Schizosaccharomyces pombe: one gene and its partners. Changing the gene in region 1 together with any one later gene gives a genetic interaction. Each region holds a gene or a part of one and is shown in the gene's direction. Other genes may lie near its edges.

Region 1 (4,630 bases):
TGGTCAAAATGAAGCAGTTACTGCAGTTGCAAACGCCATTCGCTTATCTCGTGCTGGTCTTTCTGATCCTAATCAACCAATCGCATCTTTCTTGTTTTGCGGTCCTTCCGGTACTGGTAAGACTTTATTGACAAAGGCATTGGCATCATTTATGTTTGATGATGAAAATGCAATGATTCGTATTGACATGTCTGAATACATGGAAAAACACTCTGTTTCACGTCTCATTGGAGCACCACCCGGTTATGTTGGACATGAAGCTGGTGGACAGCTTACTGAACAACTTCGTCGACGACCTTACTCCGTCATCTTGTTTGACGAGATTGAAAAGGCTGCTCCAGAAGTATTGACTGTACTTTTGCAGGTACTAGATGATGGACGTATCACTAGTGGCCAAGGCCAGGTTGTTGATGCCAAGAATGCTGTTATCATTATGACTTCTAACTTGGGCGCTGAATACTTGACAACAGACAATGAGTCTGATGATGGAAAGATAGATAGTACCACTCGGGAAATGGTTATGAACTCGATTCGTGGCTTCTTCCGTCCCGAATTTTTGAATCGTATCTCTTCAATCGTTATCTTTAATCGTCTGCGTCGTGTGGATATCCGCAATATTGTCGAAAATCGTATATTAGAGGTTCAGAAACGGCTTCAATCCAATCATCGCTCAATTAAAATCGAGGTTAGCGACGAAGCTAAAGACCTTCTTGGAAGCGCTGGTTATTCCCCTGCTTATGGTGCAAGACCTTTGAACCGTGTCATTCAAAATCAAGTTTTGAATCCCATGGCTGTCTTAATTTTGAATGGCCAGCTTCGCGATAAGGAGACTGCTCATGTCGTAGTCCAAAATGGCAAGATATTTGTCAAACCAAATCATGAAGCTAATGCAAACGGCTCTGCTGATATTGACATGGATGGTATTGACGACGATGTTAATGATGAAGAATTGGAATAAATGTATTTCAAATGAGAAAGTTCTAACGATACTTTATGATATAGTTTAATGATATGCTTAATCTTAATATATTTTATTTATTTATAAAAATATAGTATATAAACTTTTTAGGAAGTACTGTTTTCTCATTAAAATGTTCAATGAACTTTATCGAATAGATAGAATCAATTTAACAAAAGCTAAGTACATCGTTTTTAGTTATTAGCAATTCAAGTATGATGAAACATTGAATCTTAAATTTATCAAATAATCCATTGTTATTTACGAAAAACCTCCATTTATTTTAGTAGGTATTAATTAATGCAGTCCATTCAAGAAAGTCGAGCTTGTAAGAAAGTGCTCGTAATTCCTTATAAAATCAAAGCAGAATTAGCTCTCATACTTTTAGTAGATTTTAAATTGAATTTACATGATTAACTTTAACATTTGGTAAATCACTATCATATCATTTCATTACTTTCTACACTTGCGCATTGCATACTAATACGCATTCCAGTTCTCATGGTTCAAAGCAACGTTTAAATTAACAAGTTGTATAGTTAAACTTATACAGTGCTTTGCTTCTAATAGCCATTATTACCAGGAAATAACGAGATCACAGTTGCCCGCATACCATTAAGCTAACGAAACTTTACTGCACTAAACAAGAGACTAGCTTTTCGTAATTGTAATAAGACTTATCGAAAAGTTGAACCAGAGATCTTCAGTTCAGTAGATCATTGCCTTTCTCAAACGAAGCTTTAATTTATACTTCCTTAAAAATAATTGATTAGTCATATTTTCATGTTATACAAACTCTGTCATGGCTTCCAATCCGCTAGATAATAATATGCCGACGACTCCCGTTGAGGAAAAAATTCCAGTCGCTAGTTATTCTCCTAGCTCTTCTGGTAGTAGTTCCGGTGCTAGTTTACTAGTAGATATTATGTGCGGCAGTAAAGAAACTGAGGATGAAGAGGTTGATTCTGATGAATGGGATAAACCAGGTATGAATATCAACTATTAACTCCAATACCTTCAAGGGTACGCGCAAGTCTATTTGAATTTACAAAATTTACAATTGATCAACGATTTTGAGTTCAGGTTAGCTATGTGCTTTTCATATACTTTAGTTTATTTTAATTATTTAAAAAGTTAACGATTCCTTAGAAACAGAAAACATAAGTGATTTGGATGAACGATCCGAAATGGTCAGATATTTAAGGGCTTCAGGTAAGGAGTTACTTAATTTACATTTTAACTAGTATTTGTAGGCTATGCGAAATTCTTGGAGAAATATTTAATAGAAGAAGAGTTGCCTGTACGATCGATTTTAAAAAAACTTGGAATCAATTTGGTATGCTTACTGATTTATAACTTGCATTACATTAAATTAGCAGATTATTTTTGTTAAATTGCAATAATAATTTGGTCTACTGCATGTTTTGTTTTCTTATGACTTTACCTAGATTTATTAACGTAAATAGCCTAGTGCACTTGAAGAGTTTGAAGACATAGAGTATGCTTTTCTTTAACTTCCTTCTTATCTTTTTATCTTTTATTTTTTAAAATATCTGCTATCGATATACTAACGTGCTAATTAGTTTACTTCCTTTGCTGAAGGAAGTTTTAAAACGTGAGGTTGCTAGGAGAATCAAACTTCCACATTTTAATACCTTTGAAGATGTTGTTAATTTATTGAAAAAAGCTAAAAATGTTGTCGTCCTTGTTGGGGCAGGCATAAGTACAAGTTTGGGAATTTTAGATTTCCGTTCAGACAATGGTTTTTATGCCCGTTTGGCACGCCATGGATTATCGGAACCTTCTGAAATGTTTGATATCCATACGTTTAGAGAAAATCCAGAAATTTTTTATACTTTTGCTAGAGATCTTTTGCCGGAGACGAATCATTATTCCCCCTCGCATGCCTTCATTAGATTGCTTGAAAAGAAGAATAAATTATCAACATTGTTTACCCAAAATATAGACAATTTGGAAAAAAAGACTGGACTCTCCGATAACAAAATTATTCAATGTCATGGTAAGTATTTATTTTCCGATTTGCATCTCGAGCACTGGTGATTTTGTCTAATTTGATTATATAGGGTCTTTTGCTACCGCAACTTGTATCAAATGCAAGCACAAGGTGGATGGATCGGAGTTATATGAAGACATAAGAAATCAAAGAGTTTCTTACTGCAATGAATGCGGAAAACCACCCTTAAAATTAAGAAGAGTCGGTCAAAATAAAAAAGAGAAACATTATTTTTCAGATGGTGATAGTGAATCTTCTGAAGATGATCTAGCTCAACCTGGGATTATGAAACCTGATATCACATTTTTTGGGGAAGCCTTACCGGATTCTTTCTTTAACAAAGTCGGGAGTGGTGAGCTTGAAGAGACTGATTTATTAATTTGTATTGGAACTTCTTTAAAAGTGGCTCCTGTTTCAGAACTCATCAGTGTTATTCCTCCTACTACTCCTCAGATTTACATTTCGAGGACTCCTGTTCGTCATACCCAATTCGATGTAAATTTTCTAAGTCCTTATTGTGATTGGGTTATTGTGGAGATTTGTAAACGTGCTGGATGGCTGAATGAATTACAAGCGCTTTGCGATTTACCTGAGTGTCATAGTGGTTCCAAAACGCGAGCTTTCGAAACGGATTTGGATATAAAATTTGAGGAGCCCAGCACCTATCATATCACGAGCACAACAAACGGTAGTTGTTAATTTTAGGACTGATCGATCTATCGAAGTTGAATGTAGAAGCAAATATATTATATACATATATCGAGTATGAGAGCCAGATTATTGGACATTAACTTATTATCCGTTTGAGACTTCTTAGTTTTGTAAGTGCCATTGTTAAAAACTGTTTTTTCTCTTCGCACCTAATGTTTAAATCTGCTAAACTGGGTGAAAACACATTAAAACAAGTTATAATACATTTTACAATACCAAGGACTGTGTAATTAGTAAATGAACATTGAAGCAAATTACATTCATAGGCTATGCAAAATTAGCTACTTTTTTAAGCATAGTAAATCAGTGAAAATGACACAATTATTATTTAAAATTGAAAGATTGATTGGTACATATCAATACAACCAATGAAGCATCTAATTGTACGATACTAAAGAGAAACAACTGAAAACGGACAATTAGAAATTGGTCAACGATATTGACACTCAAACTCAAAAGAAGAAAACAGATTTAATGAAGAATATAAAATGCACGGATCATCGAAAAAGCCACCAAATCAAGCCCATTTACCTAACAAAGCCATAACTCCAGTACCAGCCATCGAGCATGCCAAAAGGTAAATAAGCTTATACCAGTTACGTTCTCTTTCAGGACTAAATAAGAAATCGTGTGCAAGTAATTCCACTAAACCAGCATAAACCAAAATTCCAGATGAGATAGCATCCAAAACACCTTGGGCAGCATAAGACCCATGAGCAAGAGGATCCCAATGCTCACGAACACCTAAACCAGCTGCCATACCAATAGGCGTAACCAACGAATAGATAACGCCCAACACCCAAGGTACCCATGCAGTTTTTGGGCCCCAGGCCATTCCCGCCAAACGAGAACCTAAACCACAACCTTCAAAGGCCTGATGGAAAATAATGACGGGAAATAAAGTTTTAAATTCTTCACCTGAGACGGCAGTTGTAAGACCGATAATA
Region 2 (6,691 bases), on another chromosome or scaffold:
AAATCCCGTTCAAGCGGAGAGCAGAAAGAAGAAAAAAAGAGAACAAATTAAAGTGCGAGAAGAAAGAGCAAAACGCCATGAAGAACGACTGTCGCATAGGAATATGAGCCAAATGGAACGCCAATTATCAGAGCTGACACAATTAGAATCTTCGCAAGCTTTAAATGCACATGACAAGCAATTATTACAAAATTTGCAAAGAGATATGGCAATTATGAAGAAGAAAAACATTCATGGACATAGAGTTGGGCGTGTTGAGTCAGACAAGACTAAGGAGGCAGAACGTCAACATAAACCTAGAAAGCCTTTTATCCCTAAAAACCCAAAACGAAGTATATATTATGATCCAATATTTAATCCTTACGGAGTTCCGCCGCCAGGAATGCCTTATCGTGAGAAGGAAGAACTAAGTTCAGAAACAGATGAATCCGTTATTGATATACCTTTACCTTCTGAAGAATATCCTTTTGAGGATCCAAAGCCAAGGGAAAAGAAAAATAAGAGCTTTAAGCCAAAGCACCACAAAAAGCAAGACATAAATGCAAGTTCAGCACAACCAAAATCCACTACTACGACAGAAGCTGCTGCAAATACGAAGGACATTGAAGAGGAAACTATGATTGAGTACTCAGCTCAGCCGGTAGTCAGAGATTTACGACAAGAAGCTGCTCAATTTTTACCTGCTGCGTTTCAACGACAAAAACTAGCCAAGGGGCAGAAAATTGGACAGCCAGACAGGGATGTATCGAGCCAAGTTCAGGAAGACAAGGATGAAGAAATAGATAATTTCTACAAAGAAATTGGCGGATATCTATAAAAAAGTCGTTAAAATTATGGAGATTGGAAGTAAGGATTACCAAATGGGTGTAGACGGAATTTTTAGTTAATAAACATGCATATTAATTTATATATAATATCTGTTTACTAGGTTCAATTTTAAAGGAGCTTGATTGCATCTCTGTACTTGTTTTTTTGTTTTATTCAATTATGAGTGAGCTTTCATAAGTTAATTCAAAGGCTTATTATTATGATGCGGTCAATAATTTCAAATTTTTGATGTCCAAAAAAAACAAAGGAGATTTTGTTTCTGTGTTATTGCATGATATTTATTAATGTTTTCTTGGTTCAATAATTCCTTATTATAGTCACTTTTACACTGCTTGAGCGAAAGGGGATTTCAAAAAAACACCTTATATTCATCTTTCCGTGATTATTTCAAGTTGACTGTTTTTTGTGAATTTGTCTTTTGCTAAATTATGATTGTTACACTTAGTCCTACACTGTTCATTACGAATCAGATTACCAAAAAGAAAGAAGTACATGACTAATTACTTGGATTAATTTTATTTTATTTTCATATGTATTTAGACGCCATGACAGTATTTACATGCGTAAACCAACGAATTCGTTTATCAAATAAAAATATCATAAAGGAAACCTTTAAAAATCGAAATACACATGCTTAAGTTAAAATTTGCACAATGAGAGATGAGGGAGTACTTATCTATCTTTTGCTTGCTTTTCTTGGGTTCATAATCTTTGGTTTTCGCTATAAATGCTGTATGAGACTAGGAAGCTTTTGCAGTCAATCATTCTATTATTTATAAAAACAAATAAGTTATTTATTGATTAAAAACTCGTGATACTTTTTTTTGCTATAAAATGATTTATTTACATATAATTACAAGGCACTCGCACGACCTCGTTATGTGCGAGGAGCCATGAAATTGAATCCATTGATATTAAAATTAGCCAAAATGCCATTTCTTAAGAATGGGTAAAGTCCTGTTAGAGCTGCATTCAGTACCATGGAATGAAGAAGGTTTGAGTGATAATGCTCGACTTTATTCATTTTTGGAGTTCGTAAGCCCGAAAATCGAGGAATTGAAGTACAGAAAGCTTTTGTTAGAGAAACTACAGACTCACATTAGGGAGGTCGTTTTGGATGCTGAACTTCAAGTATACGGTAGCATGTATATTGGAACAACATTATCTATAAGTGATGTAGACGTATCTTTGAAGTCACCTCGAGTTGGAGAATTGGAGAAACGACGCGTCACCATGGTTTTAAGAAAGTACTTGGATGCTGATGCTGATTTCCATTCTAGTGCCAGAGTCCCTCGCATCAATTTAGTAGATGTTAGTGGAATTGGGGTGGATTTGACGTTTGGAAATGACAAAGCTTGCAGAACTGCTGAATTGCAAAAAGCTTATAACGAAGAACACCCAATTTTTGGTAGATTGCTGATGCTATTGAAGCACTGGTTGTTTGAAAGAGATTTGGAAAACGTTCATCATGGCGGGATTGCAAGTTGCGCGCTCTCTTATATGCTAATTGGTTGGCTTGAAATGCGATTTCACAAAAAGGGAATTGATTCGGAAGTGCAACCAATTCGAGCTTTACTACAGAAATTCTTCTATTTTTGGGGAGTCGAATGGACATACGAACTTTTTGTATTGAGACCTTTAACCGGTCAAATAGTTCCTAAGCTACAAAAGGGCTGGTTAAACGAAGTGCAACCAAATTTGCTATCTATTGAAGATCCAATTGACAGAAATAACGACATTGGAAAGCAATCATTTCAAATTAGTATGATTAAAGCTGCATTTGTTGCTTCAGCTAATGAATTATTATCCGATAAGACATGGTTTAGCACCTTTGCAATTACGGAAGATGAAATGTTTTTGTGTAAACAGTTTGAAAATGTTATAAATACTAAACGAAGTTTGGTGGAGGGATATGATAGTGATACGGAATCAGATGAATTACAAGCTGGCGGATAACTGCGGGTTAATGCATTTAAAAAATAATGCTCGCTGTTTAAATAAACATTTGTTTTTCAATTCCTAAGTTGTCTTGCCGCATGTGGTAATGTTTCACTACAGTTCGTATGTACTTTACTCTTGTTTAATTGAATGGATTCATATTCTTATTATTGATAGGATATAAGAATCCTACAATTATCTTAGTCATTTTCAAGTCTTTTAATTTTACTTAGGCAAGGTTCGGCTGTTTCAAATGATATCACATTTTGTACCTATTGAAGGTGCTAACAAAATCTGTTCTTTAAAAATTTCAAAATTAAATCTATTTTATTCTTTTAAAATCTATCCAAGGATCCATGTTAGATTTTCAAGTCAATTTAATAATTGCATTTCACTTAGATTAATAAATGTGTGTGCAATCTATAGCTTTTTCGAAAGAAGGACGCTATCTTCTGTTTTGGAGCTCTCATCAATAATGAATCCCCGATGAATAAACCATTCGGATACATCGAGTTTAGGGCTTAATTTAATGTAAATTTCTTTGGCTTTTCCCTCAGCTGCAGTCTCGCAAGCATATTCCAACAGCTTGGTACCAATAGAACGGTTTCGATAGGCTGGCAAAACTGCCAAAGATAAAATTTGGATTTTGTGCGATTTATTATGTGTTTCTTTTTTGCATCTAACAGCTCCTACGCAGACCTGGTTAAAGTACGCATATTGTGCTAAAGGCCCGACTGAGATTGTGTCTTTGTAAAAGGAGGTTGGAAATATAATGATTTCAGGATCAAAACACTTTTCGTTAATAACTTCAAGGATTTTCAGATTATTAGGGTTAATCGCATCAAGTTCAATCATCTTTTTTATGCAAATGCAAATATCTTTTTCTATATGTACTTGGTGTTGTCAACTTTCAGTCTTTAAGGCATTCTAATGCAATAGTTTGAGTTGGAAACATCCACGATAAAATCTTTAAACAGTACGCTGCATTTCATTAATCCCGTTGTCACATGAATGTGAAGGTATTGTAGATGCTGGTCGCATAGGAGAAGCGTTAACAAGGCTGAAGACATCGTCATTTCCATCTTCCTTTGTGTCTACGTTTCCTTCTTTCTTTGTGGTAGAGGGCTCTTCAAAATTTGATTCTTGTGGGATAATCTCTTCGGTGGATAGCTTTTCACTTGCAGAAACCGCAGGATTCTCAAAGTCAATATGAAGTTGTCTTTGATATTCATCTATTAATCTTCTAAGCCAAGGGACTGTGTAGCTAATGGCTGGCCATGCTGTACCTAGCATAGTAATGAAGTTCCAAAGGCTCCACAGGGCCATAAATGAAAATACCAGCCCTTGTATAATGATAAGAATGATTGCAATGATCACTTTCGGAATGATTGCTAAATCAAATGCTATCGGTATGAGAAGAGCAAAGGAAACCACTCGGGTGAGAGCAACCAAAAAGACGCAAAAGGAATTTTTGAAACCAACAAAAGGCCGAAACACTGCTAGCAATATAAAAGAGATGATTTCAATAACAAATAGAAGTATAGTTTGAATCTTCGCAAACTGTTGTACTAACGCTAAAACCAATGCAAAACTAAAATAATGTGCAAAGCAGGCGTAAACATAGAGCCATCGCCGTTCTTTTAAATCCAAATATAACCATCCCCACCATGTGTATATTTTTGGATCGCTTATCAATGTTTCTGGATTGTCCTCGTTACTCAAGCCTGACGTTGTTATCACTCTTATGACTTTGATAGTTAACCAAAGGAAAAGCCCAAAAAGCAGTGCCAGAAGCAAAGCCGCCAATATTACAGGGCCATATGCTTCCCTAAGTGTAAACTGGTAAATTATCATAGTTACCAATACAGGCCAACAAACCAACACCTATATCAACCAGATTAGTATAAGTATAAAGCAAAAAAGTCGTTAAGAGCTATGTATGAACAACTCATTCCTTTGTTCAATTAACTTACCCATCTCATACAAGCATTAAAAAGTACTCTAAACCAATACCTTGTGATATAATCGCATGAAGATTTTGCGATTATACGTGTCTGACGAAGAAACTTAATAATAAGTACGAATATTATAACGATTCCTCCTGCTATGGCCAAAGAAATCAAAAACCATATTAAAGTGAGTGTAAATAAATTCGTTGTTAGCGTTCCAACTTCGGTGGCTAGGCCTTGAAACCCATGGTAAAATCCAGGAATCGGGCTTTGAGGGTTTGTTGCAACAGCATCTCTTCGATGGACTCCACCTATCTTTGGAGAACTTAGGTTTCCATTGGAATGCTTTCTAAAAGACTCAAGGCTGTTTTCTATCTCTTTATTGGTAATAAATCCTAGAATCCATGCAAAATTACTAGCCCATGCGACTAGCACTTTTGGCTGTGTAATTCCAATTGCTCCCGTGAAAGCTATACATTGAAGTAGCTCTCCCATGTGCTGCAAAGAAGGAACGGAATTGATGAAAACCTGACGTGTCAGATAGGTGCTATGCTCCATTCCAATTACATAAAAGCCTAAGACGCCTGCTATACTCAATGCCAAAGCAGTTCCACTTAGAGCTTTTACGACTTTATTTTTAAACGTATGACCATTATTAAGTGTCGCGATCATGCACGCAAGTGGTGTAGAATTATCGATGGATGACGCTGCGATGTCTTCTGAGCGATACATGCGAAAACGCACTAAGCCTTCAAAATCAGGAATTCCCCAGGCAATTTTTGGGATCATCTGAACATCTTGAGGGCTCACTGGAAGTATTCCCTGTGTGGTTATAGCTGTATCTCTTGCAACTGGGCACACAGTATTAAGATTTATTTCACAAGGGTCGAAAGTAAATCTTGCCCTCTGCTCTCCATAAGCTTCAACTATAATATCAAACGTAACATTTGCGTCCACAGATGAATATCCAAGAATATTAAAGACTACTGACAAGTTTCGTGTATAATAACTTGCATCAAACCGATTAAACACTATCGGGGCATTTGACATGCATTCTGCGTACTCGGCTGTTCCAAGTTTGTGATTTGGTCTCTTACTATATCTTACTCGACCTTCCACTGACGATAAGATATTACTTAAAACTGCAAAGTAAGCTAAGAGTATTAGCTTCATTTTCATTTTCCATTAACATCCCCCTTCCAGTTATGTAGAGGGTTTAACTTTGGAACGAATGCAAAAAAAATTAAAATGAACTTTCCTCAGAATTACCAAACTATCACGAATAACAAAAACATGCTACTGAACTCAAATGCCGTAATTTGACTGTAATGTTTACGAAATAGCAGTCGTATTTTTTAACAACCATAGCATTGAGTTAAATACAAGGATTAAATAAATAGTAATGAAACGATTGAAGCTTTAAGATTTTTACGAAAAAGAATACAGAACGTGGCTTCGTTTATTTAGTTACCACCATCTTAGCATTGTTCTTACGCTCACAATTTTACACTATGAAAAAAGCAATATAATGGTAAAGAATGTATCATTAGTAAAGAATAAAAAAAAGAAATGCATTTTCATTTCATTTGTAGTTGTGAGAAGAAATGATGGAATGTGCGAGCCTCACTTGATTTTATGTCATTATGTTTTGGACCTCAATTAGTAATAAAATTATTCTGTTGAAGTCATTTCTGAAGGCGTTTCTTGATTTTTCGCTTGTAATTCGTTGAGTTGCTCCATTAAAAGATTTCGAAAAGGAGTCAGCAGCTTCTCTTTAGTTCTATTTAATTTCATTCCACAATTTGGAAGTTGTGGCTGCGGTACTCCATGAGCTGTAGTGGGTGTAATAATTGCGGACCCAAAGAAGTTATAAAGATGTAAAAGCCATTCACTAGTACTATCTTTATTCTCAATAGCCTTCTTGCTTTCTTCATCAAGTTCCTTCACATAATCACCAATTTCTTCCAAAACTTGAT
Region 3 (4,931 bases), 3.4 Mb from region 1:
TGAATGCAATTTTTTTGGTCTATTTGCAACTTCTCATCGACGAAAACGGTGTTTACAAAAAGACAAAGGTACCAAGTAAATTGCATATAACCGACATCAGTATATTCATGTAACTTTGGCTGATAATCTTATGTTTTTATTGTTTGTATGGTAGAGTGTTTTGTTACTTGATAATTCTGGTGTTCTGCCTGTTGCTTTTTTCAATCGTTTGTACGGGCAGGCGCGACTTTCGACTTACCAACACATCGTTCAACGCGTCTTGTTTCAATTGAAACAATTATATGCTATACGGAGGATTATTTGATTGCAATTGGATATTATAAAAGGAATTTATCGAAAGGAGAATTCGAATAGGCTAATAACTCGTCATTTTTATATACCTGCATACAGACGAACTCAACAAATATTAATTCATGGCAGGCGGCCACAAGAAAAATGAAGCTACAAGGCAGACTGATGAAGTTATTCAACAAAAATACGATGAATCATTAAGCAAGGTATGTCAATTACGCAAACACAATTAGGTAACATCTCGACGATACAAATAGAATCGTCGATGAATAATTTTGGTTTAGCATAAAAATCGTTGCGAATTGTCATTAACTTTTGAATACAAGTTATCAAACAAACTTAGGGCTCGTTTGAAGGCAGCGTTTTTTAAGGTCGATCATGGATGGGAAGATCAGACATTAGATCAAGTGGAAACGCTTGTTCGTAAGGAAAATCACGTTCATCGTAGATCACGCTCGATCAATGACTTGGACTCTTCTAAGCTAAGAAGGCCGCATCACCCCAACTCAATTATGGGATCGAATACAGGCAAGCTGCGTGCAAGTTCATTTACGCGATTGGTGAGCCCAAGAGAGGGCTTCGCTCAGCTTCCTTATAAGAAGCCTGTATCTCCTTACTCATCTTCTAGTGCTGTTTCTTCTACGTCCTCGTCTTTTGATAGAACTAGTCCTCCTTGGTTGAACTACGTTGAGCCTCATACTGAGCTACCCAGACTGCCATTTGAACTTAGCCATGCCTCCACTGCTTCAGCTAAATCTCCACTGTTCGGAATGAATTACCATATTTCACGCCCTGAAGAAACCGATGAGTCTCTTCGCCTTGGCACTGCAAACCTCAGTAGAATTCGCAAGTCCACGAGTCTTCCTTTTCCAACGGCTTATCCCCTATCGGCAGATGATTGCAAGGCAGCTGAAGTTATGCTTACGTTGGTGAATTCTATGCCTTCGAAAAAACCATAACATCCTTCATTTTAGATGGTATACGAGCATTAAGATATAAAATTACATAATTATTTCATGAGAGTTAATCTATAATTTGGATGAATAGATTGATTGTTCACATCCTGCTGAAGAATTTTTGGAAAAATCTCGTTTGAGAAGTTTTGTTATTTCTTGCTATCCGTCTCCAGTCCTATGGTTGATGAGCTATTAACCCTCTATATGTTTAAATGCTTGATATGTACAAGCCAAATTGTGATAATGCTTAATGATGTTTATGACAAAGGGTGAATGTTTCCGGGCGTACAACAGTCTTAAAGATCATAGAAACATTATTTACCATGTATTTATTAACGTTCTTCCTACATCTTGATCCTTATGATTTGAAATGATTATTATATAAGATAATGGAAATTCGCGAACTCGCAAAATTATGCATTCATTTCGAAGTATGGCTCGAGACAAAGCTATTTTTAAGTTTCTAAGAAAATAAAATAAATAAATAAATAAAAATAAGACCCTCCCATGAGCCTCATTACAAACTCTATTTTTTCTCAATCTCCATACGTTCAGGATCAATCTTCTATTTAAAGCCTTACTAAACGTCTTAATTACTTACATTTTTATTCTTTACCAAACAAACTCCTTTGTTAGCATGGTTGAGATTATATTCTCTCATTGCTCCTCTATACTTATGTCTTAGAAGTACCAGCAACAGTTTTGACGACCAAAACTACCTATATCGAGTGAGCCGCGCTTCAAAAAGTGTTTCGACAGTTTTATGAGGGAGTTGTTTAATAGGAGATTTTTTTATTAATTTATTAATTGATTGACCTTTTTAAGGGCGATAGAAAACGAATGCTGGCCTCTAATTCTGATGGTGCATCTACTTCTGTAAAACCATCCGATGATGCTGTAAACACGGTAACTCCATGGTCTATTCTTTTGACAAACAATAAACCAATGTCTGGAAGTGAAAATACATTAAATAACGAATCCCATGAAATGTCGCAAATCTTGAAAAAATCTGGATTATGCTATGATCCTCGAATGAGATTCCATGCCACTCTAAGTGAAGTGGATGACCATCCTGAAGATCCAAGACGCGTCCTTCGTGTTTTTGAAGCTATAAAGAAGGCCGGTTATGTATCTAATGTGCCGAGTCCGTCAGATGTATTTTTACGGATTCCGGCTAGAGAAGCTACTTTAGAAGAGTTATTACAAGTTCATTCACAGGAAATGTATGATAGGGTTACTAATACCGAAAAAATGTCTCATGAGGATTTGGCCAATCTCGAAAAAATCAGTGATTCTCTATACTATAATAACGAAAGTGCGTTTTGTGCTCGATTGGCTTGTGGTAGCGCAATTGAAACATGTACGGCTGTCGTAACTGGTCAAGTAAAAAATGCCTTCGCAGTTGTTCGCCCTCCTGGCCATCATGCAGAACCCCATAAACCTGGTGGCTTTTGTTTATTCAACAATGTTTCTGTAACCGCAAGGAGTATGCTACAACGCTTTCCGGATAAAATAAAAAGAGTATTGATTGTCGACTGGGATATACACCATGGAAATGGTACGCAAATGGCTTTTTATGACGATCCAAATGTTCTATACGTTTCTTTGCATCGATATGAAAATGGTCGTTTCTATCCTGGCACCAATTATGGGTGTGCAGAAAATTGTGGAGAGGGCCCGGGATTGGGTAGAACTGTAAATATTCCTTGGAGTTGTGCTGGCATGGGAGATGGTGATTATATATACGCTTTTCAGCGCGTCGTAATGCCTGTTGCTTATGAATTTGATCCAGATTTAGTTATTGTAAGTTGCGGCTTTGATGCTGCTGCAGGAGATCACATTGGTCAATTCTTGTTAACTCCAGCTGCCTATGCTCATATGACACAAATGTTAATGGGATTAGCAGATGGGAAAGTTTTTATCTCCCTTGAGGGAGGTTATAATTTGGATTCTATAAGCACATCAGCCTTAGCTGTAGCCCAAAGTTTGTTGGGAATTCCTCCTGGACGATTGCATACAACATATGCATGTCCACAGGCCGTTGCTACCATCAACCATGTAACCAAAATACAATCCCAATACTGGAGATGTATGAGGCCGAAACACTTCGACGCAAATCCTAAGGATGCCCATGTAGATCGATTACATGATGTTATTCGAACTTATCAAGCTAAAAAACTTTTCGAAGACTGGAAAATTACCAATATGCCAATACTAAGGGATTCCGTTTCCAATGTATTCAACAATCAAGTACTGTGCTCTAGCAATTTCTTTCAAAAAGATAACCTTCTCGTTATTGTCCATGAATCTCCTAGAGTCCTGGGTAATGGAACTAGTGAAACGAACGTTTTGAATTTAAATGATTCGCTTTTAGTAGATCCCGTGAGCCTTTATGTTGAATGGGCTATGCAACAGGACTGGGGGCTTATCGACATAAATATACCTGAAGTGGTTACGGACGGTGAAAATGCACCGGTTGACATTCTTTCTGAAGTGAAAGAACTTTGTCTTTATGTATGGGATAATTATGTTGAGTTGTCGATTTCAAAAAATATTTTTTTCATCGGTGGAGGCAAAGCGGTACATGGATTGGTTAATTTGGCATCTTCCAGGAATGTGTCAGACAGAGTTAAGTGTATGGTGAATTTCCTTGGCACTGAACCTTTGGTGGGTCTTAAAACGGCATCAGAGGAAGATCTTCCAACGTGGTATTATCGTCATTCACTCGTGTTTGTGAGTTCTAGTAATGAGTGCTGGAAAAAGGCAAAGCGTGCTAAAAGAAGATATGGACGACTTATGCAAAGTGAACATACTGAAACTTCGGACATGATGGAGCAACACTATCGAGCGGTTACTCAATACTTGCTGCATTTGCTTCAAAAGGCCCGACCAACTTCTCAGTAACATTCGTTATTGACTTATGATTTTTTCATGGTTTTCTATTCTTTTAATTGTCACACATTTAACCTCCTTAAGTTATCTACGTTAAAATTTATAACGGACATTCATGATTTGCCAAACCCGCTGAATGATTCGTACTCAATCTGCTAAGCTGCTTTGTCTCTTTTACTTATACTTTAATTCGAGCTCATTATTCTCAAGGTTGGTGGATTTTGACTTTATTTTCCAGTAGAATGTATACACAAATGGTTTATTGTTATTGCTGGCTTCATTTTATTCATGTTCAATATAATTAAATAAATAAGGTTATAATATTGTTTTATAAAATAAAGCTCCTCAAATCCGTGATATTATTTTAGTTCAAACAACTATTGTTGATTTTTGTCGTAATTTTGCTTAAAAGCATTTCTCTAAAGCTGAGGGAAATCCCTCATCCATTTTTTGTACCGCAAAAGGATAATATTATAGTATGTTGTTTAAATTGTAAAATTAGATTCATAGTACAAACAGCATTTAAATTGTTTTCTTATTCTCCAATATTAATAACTATATCACACAAAAAAATTGATTTGGTTGTATGGTGTAATGGTTAGCACGTGAGATTCTGATTCTCGAGACCTGGGTTCGATTCCCAGTACGACCTTCATGAATGATGGATGATTCTGTGATGTTCAACTTTTTTAACTAATCCAAATTGCATGAATGATAACCGGTCAACAGTAATTGTAAATGTAGCAACTTTACTATTAAGGAAGGCTGGCTTTTTTTTTTTTTAATAAAACG
Region 4 (5,039 bases), on another chromosome or scaffold:
AAACATCATGTATATCATGGACGAAAGTTTAAAAGGTTGGCAACCAAAGCCAAGTTCATGAGAGGAAAAGAAGATTATAACTATAATCCTCGACACAGGAAAATAAGATGTACTGTCATCGCAAAGCAATAGGCAACACGTCAGTAATAATTAGGAAAATTAAAAGAAAAAAACACAAGAGAAAAAAATGTACGAGACCGGTGAAACAAGTTTCAAACAAATCTCGATAAAAGCACAACGAGATTATTAATAGCATAATAAAAACTAGCCAGAATAAAATTAATGCAATATGCAGATCATAACACCCAACGCTCATAAAAAAGGTAACAAATGCCCATTCTAAGCATACAAATCGAAAAGTAAACGAGGCACATTTTCGATAAATAGTCATTGACGAACATTTCCATATTATAAATGAATTGCTCGCTCAATTAACTAACAAGGAATAAGATGAAGTTAAGGAAATCTAGTCAATAAAAATCAAGATTTCAAATCCAAGAAATCCATTAAAAACGTTGGCATTTCTTTTAACTATAAGCCGTTAGAAAAGGAATTCAGTAGCTTTTGTATGAAATCCTCTAAAAACCAAAAGCGAAGGAAACAAAATTAACCCATATAGAGAGCTAAATTCTATAATCCAAAAAAACAGAAAGACAGAGGTACATAGGGTGATAGTAAGAAAGTCATAATACTAGCAAAAATACTAGACTATGATAAATTCTCTTGGCCAATGTTCAAATAAATAGTGCTACAACGAACACGTGTAGATAAACGCGGAGACGAAAGAAGGTGAAACAAAAAAGTGGAATAGTTAGAACAGAACACGAGGCTTAAAAAGGTGATATGTCCTTAGACATAAATAAGCATCCAATGAAACTATGCACTTCCTTGACGCAGCATACGGAACAAGCGCTGTTCACGATCGCGATGAAACAATAAGTCTAGGGCAGAAGTAGAATGACAATGAATGCCGTTATTAGGGGAATTCAAAGTAGGGGTAATGTTACCAGTGGGATGGCCGGCAGCATTGAAGTGATTAAAAGAAGGAGTGGAAGCTGAATAGTTAGTATGAGGAGAATTGTGTCCACTGTAAAATCCATTCGTCTGTTGAATACTCTGCAATGAGGGATCGTTACGAGACATCGGACAAAAATTATGACCCATGGCAACTTCGGATGGGGTTGAAGGAACAGAGGAAGATTGATGAAACTGGAAAGGCATGTTTGAGTTCACACTACCAGTAGGAGGTTGCCATTCAGCCTTTTCGGAAACGGGAGAGTGTAAGAACGTAGGGATGGGAAGATTAGAAGCGGCCGGAGAATGAGTAAATGTAGGACCGGCGTAAAGAATGGAATTAGTATCGGAAGAGGAATTCGAAGAAAAAGATCGATCAGCACCGGAAGAATTGGAAACGTAAGAAGATACAGACTTCAAATGAGAATCAACTTCTCCGACGGCAACCTTATCAATTCCTAAGCCAGCAGGAGCCGAAGCAACACCAGAAGGAAGGTGGGAATTAGAATTGCCACCTGAGATACGAGAGCCAGCATACGAACTGTGACCAGATTTAGAGCGTCGATTCCCGCGTACTTTATCGCCATTTCGCTTACCATTGCTTTCACCAATGTTAGAAGTAGCAAAAGTACTCTTGGGTTTCACAAAGTTAGGTATCTGGAGATTACCATCTCGTTGGGGCATAATCGACATTCCATCTAAACTGAACTCGACATCGCTGGAAGCAACCATTGCTCCGCCCGGTTTAGAATTAATTTTCTTCTTATTACGTTGAAATCTACGTCCAATGTCTTTTTGCATTTTTTACTATAGTCAAAATTCGAGTAATCCCTAATGATCATGGATTCTGTATTCTTAGTGATTGATGTTGGTTAAGGATAACTTCGGGGGCAACACTCTTACCCAATATACGTTATTTGGGCTGAGGTGACACAAAGCAATGAGCTGCGCTATGCCTCCTTATAGAGCTTTCTTCCCTTAACCATTATTTGCCACCCACTTTAACTGGCAAAAAGAAAGAAGGAAAACAAAGATTCGGCACAAAGATAGAGAAATAAGAAATTGCTTTACCTTCGTTTAGTGAAGTCTTTTATTAAATTTGAAAAGGTGTGTTTGAACAGTGGAATTCAAGCAATTTCCTAAGTATATTATAGCTCATTGCTGTAATATTATAAATTTGTATGGGATTGCAATTACGTTCACGAATCAGCAACTTATGCCAGGTTTCCTTTTTAATGTAGATAAGGATTCATGTAATTAACTAGCTTATATCAGCTTTATACCATTTTTGATCAGTTTGAATTATTCACCATGGACAATTGGGAGGACCCTAACTTCGAATTGCGAAATCTTCGTGTCATAGACTTGAAAAAGATCCTTCATGAATCGGGAGTGTCATTCCCTGTGAATGCCAGAAAAATAGAGTATATTAGGATGGTGGATAGAATACGGAAAAACAAATTAAGCTCTGGTCCACAACATTTATTGTCTCATCTTCAAAAAGAGGAAAACTCTAACACCTCAAAAGCGTCTAGCTCCGAGGATGAAATAGCTCCTAAATACCTTTATCCCTCCTCTCCTTCCAAAAGCACGAAAAAGCCACACAACGAAACAGAACCGCTTCTGTCTCCACAATTCATTGACAAACCTAGCAACATTGAAACCCCGGTTAAAATAGAGTCTCCGCACGTCTCTCAAAATAATACCTTTCAGTCCTATTCTGAATTGAGCCCTAATGTGGAAACATCGCTGACTATGAAAACTCCGCCAGCCCACGCGTCTACACCAAAATTTCGCTCGCATAAATCTCATAGGGTAGCTGTTCCTATGTCATTTATGGATAGCTCTGCTTTACATACTTCGCCAGCATTTTCGGAGAGGTTAAAGCTGCTTTCATCTTCAAACAATTTTTCTCCACAATTGAGGTCTCCCAAAATATCACATCGTCTACAAACTTCAGCCACTTCTAGTCCTCTTCAACATAAACGACCCTTTACTAATGTTCCTGAGCGAGTCTCTCGAGATATCGAGTTTGCTCCTCTTGACAGTGCAAGGCCCTCTGAATCTTCATCGCCTTATTCTGAAGTAGACTCTGCTGAGGAAGATGACGAGCTTTTTCAAAATTACGTTTTGCAGCAGACTCGAAAAGAAAGCAAACTTTGGTCGTTTATTAAAAAAGTATTTCACGACATTAAGTACGCCAATTATCGTCTTCTTCACAATTTGCGCGCCTTTCCTGGAATCAGCGCGATATCTTCTTCTTATTTAGTGCATATTTTTATGATTTTATTAGGAGTGGTGGCAGCAATTTTTCTGGCTTTATTACGGGAGAAAATGTTTACAGCAGGATTCTGTGATTCGGGTGCCAGTGGAAGTTCTGCTTCAATTCTTGGAATAAGTTTTCCATCATTGTGTAGAACTTGCCCTCCGAATGCAATATGTCCCTCTCCAAATTACGTTGAATGCAAGCCCGGATATGTCCTCTACGAACCATGGTATTCAAGTTTAGGATTTTGGCCCTCCAAGTATTGCGTTAGTGATACTTCTAGAGAAGAAAGTGTTAATATTTTTCGTGAAGAATGTTTAAGTGTATTAAGATCCTGGAATGCAATTTTGCATTGTAGCAATAACTCGTCAGATTTGCTGGAACGAAATATGTCGTACAATGCGCACCCTTATGTCGCCGATAATCTTAATATATCATCTGATCATATCTCCTTCCCATCAAAACCATTTGCGTTAGGATTATTACATGATACGCTTCTTGAAAGAAAATCTCCAACCCTTGGCCTTGAAATGTTTGAGGACTTATTTAAAGCTTCTTTGGCAGTACTTTCTGAAACGAATGAAGTTGTCATGGATTCAAAATTAATTTGCTACGATAGCTGGGCAGGTATTCCTTTGCGGTGTCGTTTAAAACAGCAACTGATAAAATTTGTTTGGAGGAACAAAGTTTTTTTATTTGGAATCCTTGCGTTGTCAGGAGTTATTTTTAAGCTCATCAATTTTTTTCGTACTCGCAGTATCGTAGCAAAGTATCTACCATCGGCTTCTCGATTCTGTGTAGAATCTTTGAAGAGACAGAAAGCAAATTATCAAATGTCTCGATCTCAAGAACCCGTTATACCACTAATCGAAATGCATGATATACTCTTTCATGGAAATGGCCCATTGGAACAAATTCATATGACGAAAGCAACTGCTCGAACTCTTTGGGAAGCAATAGTCGAACGTGTTGAACAAGTTGGCAGTGTAAGAACTCGTGAATCAGAAGTAGACGGCGAATGGACCCGTGTATGGGAGTGGGTCGGCACAAATACTTTGGATTTCCAAACCGATCGTTCATTTATTAATACAACTTCCCCTTTACGTGAATAATGATTCTCGACTGTATTTCTAGCTTTGTATTTATGACATTTTTCATAGCTAATACAAAAGTAAGTTAATAATATATTTATCTGAATGCTTATACATATTAAAAATGAAACATAAAATTGGTATAATGAGGACTTGTTTGCAAGGTTGATGAAATTTAACTGTATTTCTTATATTAATGTGATTCTTAGTTATACCAAATAAATTATTTTAAAATAAAAACCAAAACCAGTACCATTTTTGATTGAATATGGGCATGTCTAGAGTAAGAAATTAGCGGAGAAAAAATAGGACATGTCACATAGAAAGGGTATTTAAAAAAAAATAAAGGAATTCAAAAGGGAGATTCACCCAACATTACGGTTGAAGATTCGTAGTCTGTGTCTTCTTCTTCCTCGTCATCATCCAAACCTGGAATTTGTTGCCATTCGTTATAAAATGGTTGAACAATTATAGAAGACTTCGTAAGCCGGTAAGGATCAAAGGGAAAATAGGCATCCATAGTGTCGAACCCTTCTCTAAAAATTCCTTTTCTGTTTTGCTCAATAATGGAATAGACGTACATAAAATTGAGATGATTTGCAACCTTTGCAAATTGAAGTACAATATTGGGGGAACAGTATCTCAATGGATTAAGCCGAGAAAGAACG

The links.
Region 2: mutations in sir2 (region 1) and cid12 together harm fitness more than expected from each alone (negative genetic interaction), as found in Schizosaccharomyces pombe (3 studies listed by BioGRID, with this or other methods).
Region 3: of sir2 (region 1) and clr3, changing one enhances a phenotype caused by changing the other (phenotypic enhancement), as found in Schizosaccharomyces pombe (3 studies listed by BioGRID, with this or other methods).
Region 4: of sir2 (region 1) and lem2, changing one enhances a phenotype caused by changing the other (phenotypic enhancement), as found in Schizosaccharomyces pombe (one study listed by BioGRID).

Annotation. Positions count from the first base shown.
Region 1 is NC_003423.3:3,608,687-3,613,316, reverse strand, and holds sir2 (histone deacetylase, Sirtuin family, NAD-dependent Sir2), read left to right. Parts: upstream 1-1,630; 5' UTR 1,631-1,760; coding exon 1,761-1,944; exon of another isoform or gene 1,945-2,107; coding exon 2,108-2,170; exon of another isoform or gene 2,171-2,207; intron 2,208-2,211; coding exon 2,212-2,294; intron 2,295-2,424; coding exon 2,425-2,456; exon of another isoform or gene 2,457-2,541; coding exon 2,542-2,978; exon of another isoform or gene 2,979-3,042; coding exon 3,043-3,671; 3' UTR 3,672-4,100; downstream 4,101-4,630. Other genes in the region: heat shock protein Hsp104, read left to right, coding at 1-958; plasma membrane ZIP zinc transmembrane transporter Zrt1, read right to left, coding at 4,201-4,630. UniProt on the Schizosaccharomyces pombe protein: Involved in silencing within the mating-type region, at the telomeres, and according to PubMed:12867036 also within centromeric DNA regions.
Region 2 is NC_003421.2:1,653,896-1,660,586, forward strand, and holds cid12 (poly(A) polymerase Cid12), read left to right. Parts: upstream 1-1,750; 5' UTR 1,751-1,773; coding exon 1,774-2,784; 3' UTR 2,785-3,186; coding exon of another isoform or gene 3,187-3,621; 3' UTR 3,622-3,735; coding exon of another isoform or gene 3,736-4,650; 3' UTR 4,651-4,739; coding exon of another isoform or gene 4,740-5,888; 3' UTR 5,889-6,185; downstream 6,186-6,691. Other genes in the region: splicing-associated factor Saf1, read left to right, coding at 1-817; NatA N-acetyltransferase subunit Naa50, read right to left, coding at 3,187-3,621; trp663 (TRP-like ion channel protein), read right to left, coding at 3,736-4,650, 4,740-5,888; SPOM_SPCC663.15C (uncharacterized protein), read right to left, coding at 6,387-6,691. UniProt on the Schizosaccharomyces pombe protein: Has a role in the RNA interference (RNAi) pathway which is important for heterochromatin formation and accurate chromosome segregation.
Region 3 is NC_003423.3:252,735-257,665, forward strand, and holds clr3 (class 2 histone deacetylase Clr3), read left to right. Parts: upstream 1-1,951; 5' UTR 1,952-2,087; coding exon 2,088-4,151; 3' UTR 4,152-4,404; downstream 4,405-4,931. Other genes in the region: cell cycle transcriptional repressor Whi5, read left to right, coding at 414-497, 576-1,250. UniProt on the Schizosaccharomyces pombe protein: Responsible for the deacetylation of lysine residues on the N-terminal part of the core histones (H2A, H2B, H3 and H4).
Region 4 is NC_003424.3:2,232,273-2,237,311, forward strand, and holds lem2 (LEM domain nuclear inner membrane protein Heh1/Lem2), read left to right. Parts: upstream 1-2,005; 5' UTR 2,006-2,325; coding exon 2,326-4,392; 3' UTR 4,393-4,501; downstream 4,502-5,039. Other genes in the region: protein Edc1, read right to left, coding at 877-1,815; RNA polymerase I general transcription inititation factor subunit Rrn3, read right to left, coding at 4,724-5,039. UniProt on the Schizosaccharomyces pombe protein: Nucleus inner membrane protein involved in meiosis. Plays a role in regulating nuclear envelope (NE) morphology and nuclear integrity, particularly during spindle pole body (SPB) extrusion or insertion through the NE, and perhaps during karyokinesis.